Saccharomyces cerevisiae S288C: one gene and its partner. The gene in region 2 interacts genetically with the main gene of each other region. Each region holds a gene or a part of one and is shown on either strand. Other genes may lie near its edges.

Region 1 (3,758 bases), on a different chromosome or scaffold from region 2:
AAGCCATTTGGTTGATCGGTGGTACATAAGCCATCGATATTATGCATCATCCATTCCTGGACACCAACGTTAACCATGCCTGATATGATAGTGGCATAGATTTGAACGGCAAAGATCAAACGAGGGGAAACCTTCATGTACATGGCTAATTTCAAATCTCTACTCAAATTCAAGCCTTGTCTCATGACAATAAATCCGTATAGCTTGAATAATAAGTTTGCCATTGGTCTTAAAGGCAGCATATAACCGCAGATCAATTCTGTGATAATATTCAAACCTACGTGTTGGTTAGTCATTGCTTCCAAGATACCTTGCGGGATGAAATTTACAAGGGAAATTAATATTGCAATAACAAATGCCCAAGCTGGGAACTTAGTATCGAAACAGCACACTGCTACAAATCCTAAACCGATCATGACAATCTGCAAAAGTAAATACCACCAATCGGGACAATCCTTATAGTTCTTGGAGTAGATTCTCATGTGAATGTCAGTGCCACCATTTTTACGGTCTTTAAACTTGGCGACAATATCTTTACCGTGGTATAAGATGCAGTGGACAAAAACGGCGATAACAGCGGCAAAATTTAAAGCATACGACAAAAGATAGGAAAATGGAACGAATACCGGTGAGTATTCCTTATATTTCTCAAGATTAATGGAATAATCCTCGTTAAGAATCTTTGTTACGTTGTATTTGTTTTGAGTGTTGTCATAAGTAGAACCTGAAATGACGGGCATGTATTTGGCATACCAGGTATTCGTAAAATAAAGACATGGCAGCACTATGACGAAGAATATCAACACTGATGCATAGGTGTTGGCGGAGACGTAGAATGGTGTGGCGAAAACAGAGCCGGACATGGCTTGGGAAACCTGGGTGTAGTCAAATGTAATTGGCAACGCACCGAGACCACTTTGAGTACCAAAGATTGTGTTAGCGATGAAATTGTGTCTTGTCTTCGACCCCCATAGGATAACGTTGAAATAGGACAGACCGGTAAAGAGGAATCCAGGTACCCAATACCAGATGAACGATCCGATAAGGACGATTAAGAAGAACCTGTAACGGGGCATCGTCCAACCATTTGCGACTGTCTTTTCAACTTTTCTCGAGTGCAACGAATCAAACAAGGACACTGAAATTAAAGTCTGAGGCCAGATAGAGCTTGCAGGGTTGACGACCCATCTTCTGGTAAGACCTGCAGCACCATAACCAATCATTTGAGATGTCCAAACCAACAAGAACTGATATCCGACATTAAGTTTCATGTTGTAAAAGCTTCCCTGGGCGTTCAAAATGTACATAGCGTATGCAGTAGAGGAAGTAAGCGCCACGGCAATTGTGACCACGGCGTGTTCCTTTTTGGTAAATGGGCCCGGGTTTAAATCGAAAAATGGCACTTTAGAACACTTCCAGTCGGGCAAGAGAGCCAGTATCCTACCAATTGGGTAGCAAACAACTTGTGCAACAAGGAAGTTGATCTCTAGCGATGGATATCTCAGGGAAAAAAATTGATTAACACCGGCGAAAACTACCACAAACACCGTGGTCAAGAACCACGTTCTCCAGTGGTTGAGGCGGATGGTGGGGTCATCCTCGATGGACACCGCCGATCTCACTTCAGGATATGGAGAATTGGGCAAGTATGTAGGGTCGCCCTTCCAAACGAGACCTTCCTCCTGTATGGAATGCCTGTCGAATTTTTGGCTTTCCGGATCGCGGTCCTCCTCATCAGTAGTCGCAGTGAGATTATTGACGTCCTCGTCAATATTCTTAACGAAAGCATCTTTCTTTTCCTCTTCCATATTGATCTGGATAGGAATGGTTGTTGGCGTTGGCGAGGGCTCCGACTCCAACGAGTCGCTCTCCCTATAAATGGTACTCATGTGTTCTGTGACGTTATATAATTGTTGCGGTTATTTTCTGCCACACAGTCGAAAACTTTTTACCAAGAATACACAGCTTCCGATGATTGTCCATATATAGTCGAAACAATTCATTGAATAGCCCAAAATTTGAAAAAAAAAGAAAAATGATGGGCACCCCATGATGATAAGAGCTCTCTTTCTTCAACAACGATTGCTAAGGCGTTTACAGACCCATCGACTGCCCTTGCAGTGGGTTTGATGTGATTAACAGGCAGCAGCAACAAGCAACTGCTGAAAACCTTGGTGCCTTGCAGACGGCTATTGTCCTGGATTTTGTGTGACAAAACGTAGATGTGGCGTCTTGTAGTCGGAGGTGTGGCGGGCCGGAAAAATAGTGGAAAAAAAGAAAATTAATGCGATAGCGACGGGCAGGTAGGGAGGTTTGAGGGGTCCGTAGTATGCGTCTATCGTTGCAACAAGGGTGACTAATGCCATGTCTTGGCCTTTGATGCAACGTCTCGGAAGTTAGTATCGATCCGAGGAGTGGAACGGATGCGATTTCCCCTCCATTCTATCGATAAGGTTGCTGGGAAACGCATTATAAGGGATGAGTGAAGACGGAGGGAAAGCATAACGAGGAGAGATTGCCGAGATAACTGAGAAGACGTAATCTAAAGGCAACGCAGCATGTCTCGAGTTGCACAGCTCGACTCGATAGCGCTTGATAAAGAATTGTATGGACAGTTTTGGTCCGAGTTCAATGCAGCATTCAATACGAGTGAACACAAAGAGGAATGGGAGTTGGCACTGAACACAGTTGTGTTTATGTGCGCGACGAGGTTCCTGCCACACTATGGCTCTAGCTGTACGTATGGATCCGCACTCAGTGGCGTGGTTTTTCAGTGCAGGAAACGCACCTTGTATGTCGTCACTGTCTTGGCAGGGTACGTGTGGAAGAAGATCACACATATTATTTTTAATGGGCCGCACTGTGGGAACCAGATGATGTGGCTGAAGCTGTACAAATGGGTTAATTTATTGTATCACGGCTGTGATGTAACCAACTTCCTGAGGTTTCTAGCAGCGGAAGGGCCCAATGCGAGGGCGTTTTTGTCGCCGTTATACCGGGCTTTTAATGTCCATTCCACAAGGTTGATTCGGGATGGTTCTGCAATTGCCTCTGAATTTTATTCGAACTCTGTATTCGCTGGGTTAGAATACCAGAATAGACAATTGCTATGGAATGCACTATTAGAACTCTTTTCCAATACACTACTTACGAAAAGAGGACTCTTGACCTTTGTTAAAAAACCACCAAGGTCTCGTTCTACGACTACTTATAAGACAGTTTGCCCCCGTTGCGGCGGTTTTCCAACCAACCCATACCAGATCGCTTGTTGTCGTGCGAACTACTGTTACGTGTGCGTTGTAAAGGCGTTGGAGTGGTCTATGTGCGATGCCTGTGGATCCTCTGGGAGACTGACCGCCTCACCAGTGTACTAAAGGGCCCCGTTCCCTCGCTTGTATCTCTATATATGTGTATACTATATTCATATTCATGTTGTCAAAATCGGTCACGTGGTAAAGGGTCTGGTTTTTTTTTTTTCACTTTCTGCTCAAGAAAAAAAAGAAACAATAAAGAAGTGGTATAATATCATCATGGAACGCTGTACGGGACGATGTGGGAAGCGACGTCTGAAATCCAGTAATAATAAACAGTGAGCACTTTAGGATAGCAGTAGTTTGCATTTTGCACGTTTCCCTTTCCATGCAATGTTTTTACCTCGTCTCGTTCGGTACAGGACCGAGAGGTTTATAAAAATGGTACCTACCAGGACCTTGCGACGAATCAACCACAGCAGCAGGGATCCAATTCAAAAACAGGTC
Region 2 (3,694 bases):
CTAGCAGCAACGAAATGCCAACAATTAAATCCAAGTTCACCTATTCTGACTTTTATATTTAATAACTAACATTTTTATCAACGATGGAATTCCAACAGCTTTACTAATCTTTACTTGTAATTTGGCTTTTTAGATCTATAATATTTATTGTATGGAAAGTAGCATCCAACCAAATCCCGCGAAGTTTTCCTGATTTACATAACAAGCAAATACTAAAAACGTTAACACACATGTGCTTCTTTATTGTAAAGAAACCTCCATCATCCTCTTTTGTAACTTGGTCCTACAATAAATTTATCCAGTGTGACAGCTTTATAGGAGGCGTAAAGTAGTCTCATGAAGTAGATGAGTCTTGTTCACCATATTTTTCTTCTCGACTGCGAATTAACACTGTTCTTTGATGTTAGAACAATTTAGGTTCAAAGTACGAGTCACGACATGTAACAAGGGAAAAAAAGGATATTCATTTCAATAAAGTTCGTTTTATAAAAGTATAGTACTTGTGAGAGAAAGTAGGTTTATACATAATTTTACAACTCATTACGCACACTCATGGTTTTTGGCCAGCGAAAACAGTTTCAAAAGATTGCTGGAAGTCTGCAATAATGTCATCAATAAATTCGATACCAACAGAGACACGAATTAAGTCCTTGGTAACACCAGATGCCAACTTTTCTTTGTCATTTAATTGTTTGTGGGTAGTGAAGTATGGAGCAATGACTAAGGTCTTGGCATCACCAACATTGGCCAAGTTAGAGGCAAGCTTTAAATTGTCAACAACTTGAGCACCAGAAAGTTTGAATGGGTCAGTTTCCTTGTCGGCATTTGGTAAGTCTTTTACACCGAAAGATAAGACACCACCGAAACCGTTAGATAGATACTTCTTAGCATTTTCATGATGAGAATGAGATGCTAAACCAGGGTATGAAACCCAAGATACGTATGGGGATTGTTCTAACCATTTGGCTAACTTCAATGCATTTTCACCGTGTCTTTCAGCTCTCAAAGATAATGTTTCAACACCTTGTAGTAGCAAGAAAGAGGCAAATGGGTTCATCAATGGACCCAAATCTCTTAATAGTTCAGTTCTAACATGAACGATGTATGCCAAGTTACCGTAGGCTTCATTGTAGATAGTACCGTGATATCCTTCGGCAGGTTGAGAGAATTGAGGGAACTTTTCTGGGTAGTCCTTCCATGGGAACTTACCAGAGTCAACAATAATACCACCGATAGTAGTACCATGACCACCAATCCATTTGGTAGCAGAATGTGTTACAATATCAGCACCGTATTTAATTGGCTGACAGAAGTAACCACCGGCACCAAATGTGTTGTCAACGACAACTGGAATACCGTGTTTGTGAGCAATTGCAACAATTTTTTCAAAATCCGGAACATTGTACTTTGGATTACCAATGGTTTCCAAATAAACAGCCTTGGTTCTTTCATCAAAGACCTTTTCGAATTCTTCTGGATTGTCACCTTCAACAAATCTAGCCTCGATACCAAATCTTTTGAACGAGATTTTGAACTGGTTATAAGTACCACCGTATAAGTAAGAAGTGGAAACGATGTTGTCACCAGTGTGTGCCAAACCTTGGATGGCAAGGGTTTGAGCGGCTTGACCGGAGGAAACAGCCAAAGCAGCAGCACCACCTTCTAAAGCAGCAATTCTTTCTTCCAAAACATTACTGGTTGGGTTTTGGAAACGGGAATAGACGTAACCTGGAACTTCTAGACCAAACAATTGCGAACCATGCTTAGAGTTTTCGAAAACATAAGAAGTGGTGGCGTAAATTGGTACAGCTCTGGATCTGTGAGCATTGTCACCAGGGTTCTCTTGGCCGGCGTGTAGTTGAACAGTATCGAAATGAGATGGCATTGTATGGATGGGGGTAATAGAATTGTATCTATGTATCTGACGACCCTGTATTACACGAAGGAAATAGTAGATGAAAAGACAAGAGAGCAAGAAAAAGGAAAAACTTCCTTTCTAACAGACGCTTTACTTAACCTTATATATATCTTATTTTTTTCATCGAGCGTGTTCAATTGGACAAGGTGCCACCTTTTCGACACTTCGGTTATTATGTTACACAGTTTTCATGAGGATGGCGCCTTGACTAACTTAATTAGTCATTTGCCAACCACCACAGTTCCCCAATATCGACAGCTTCACGTGCCATTTGCCATTTTGCGATCATGTGACCTCAAGAGAAAAAGCAAAAAATAATGAGAGCTAAGGGATTCGAACCCTTGCATCCGAAGATATCAGAGATTTTAGAGGTTAAATCCACCTAAATCTGACGCCTTAAACCACTCGGCCAAACTCCCATTGTATGTTGGAAGAATTGGATTTAAATGTCTATTATAGCATTAAATATCTTTAAATACATTCAAGAAATGGCGAAATTATTTCTTAGTGTTGGAATAAAAATCAACTATCATCTACTAACTAGTATTTACGTTACTAGTATATTATCATATACGGTGTTAGAAGATGACGCAAATGATGAGAAATAGTCATCTAAATTAGTGGAAGCTGAAACGCAAGGATTGATAATGTAATAGGATCAATGAATATTAACATATAAAACGATGATAATAATATTTATAGAATTGTGTAGAATTGCAGATTCCCTTTTATGGATTCCTAAATCCTCGAGGAGAACTTCTAGTATATTCTACATACCTAATATTATTGCCTTATTAAAAATGGAATCCCAACAATTATCTCAAAATTCACCAAATTTTCACTTAGGTATTTTCTTTTATAAAGTCTATCGTTATAAAAATACTATATAGATCCCATAGGTGCTTATTATAGCAGCAGAAGAAAGTAGAAAACGATTTATTCTCCTTTATTAAGCGTGATATTCAATAACTTCCCAGTTCAACCCATTGCTGGTTACAGTGGAACCTTTCTTCAAATTTTCGTAGCTTTGTGGAATTTTGTTTACTTCCTTACCGTAGCTTAATAAGAACTCAGATTTACCTGAATCTTTTTCAAGTAATCTGATGAAGTTCAAGCCTTCAATAGTGTTATTATTCTTTTGGGACAAAAACCCTTGAATCCATCTACCAATAACAATAACCAAACCATCATAAGCTTCGTCAGTAACTTTGAGGACAATTGACCTAGCATTCGACGAGAACTTCTCATTGTTTGGTGAGACGATGACTAGATCTTCTCTTGATGGGTCAACTGGTTGCCACAATTCTCTGAAAGAGACGCTTTCTTTGTCGGCACCGAATGGGTAAACAGCGCCTGTTTCCTCGACACAACCAGAATCCCAATTTTTCCAAGTGGTGTTCACTTCGCCACGATGGGTGTTTGGAACGTTCAAGTACACATTTGTATCCAACCAGAAATTGAAATCTTGAGTAACGACACCGTTTCCTTGATCATTAGCTTTAACTGTTTCGTTTGTACCGGCAAAGGCCCATTCGAAAGGAAAAGATAACTCATCACCGCTTGGCTTAACAAATGGTCTCAAGGAAATATAGTGCCCATCAGTTGAAACAGAGGATAAGGTGAATGTTCTTTCGTTTGGATGAGGACCCACTTGAAACAATAATCTTTTTAATAATGCTGGCATTGTAACTTAATTTTTTGTTTGTTGTTGTTTAAGTTCTTTTATCCTTCCTTAGATAACACCTTAAAGCTCCAGTTACAACAGCGGTGAGAATT

Evidence for each region. A genetic interaction does not mean that the proteins touch.
Region 1: mutations in MET17 (region 2) and OPT1 are lethal when combined (synthetic lethality), as found in Saccharomyces cerevisiae (2 studies listed by BioGRID, with this or other methods).

What each region holds. Positions count from the first base shown.
Region 1 is NC_001142.9:34,361-38,118, forward strand, and holds the start of OPT1 (oligopeptide transporter OPT1), read right to left. Parts: upstream 1,890-3,758; coding exon 1-1,889. Other genes in the region: PEX2 (ubiquitin-protein ligase peroxin 2), read left to right, coding at 2,559-3,374; CBP1 (Cbp1p), read left to right, coding at 3,645-3,758. UniProt on the Saccharomyces cerevisiae protein: High affinity transporter for glutathione. Also transports tetra- and pentapeptides like the opioids leucine enkephalin (Tyr-Gly-Gly-Phe-Leu) and methionine enkephalin (Tyr-Gly-Gly_Phe-Met) across the cell membrane.
Region 2 is NC_001144.5:730,733-734,426, reverse strand, and holds MET17 (bifunctional cysteine synthase/O-acetylhomoserine aminocarboxypropyltransferase MET17), read right to left. Parts: upstream 1,886-3,694; coding exon 551-1,885; downstream 1-550. Other genes in the region: YLR302C (uncharacterized protein), read left to right, coding at 1,874-2,236; HRI1 (Hri1p), read right to left, coding at 2,868-3,602. UniProt on the Saccharomyces cerevisiae protein: Catalyzes the conversion of O-acetyl-L-homoserine (OAH) into homocysteine in the methionine biosynthesis pathway. Required to efficiently reduce toxic levels of hydrogen sulfide generated when the sulfate assimilation pathway (SAP) is active.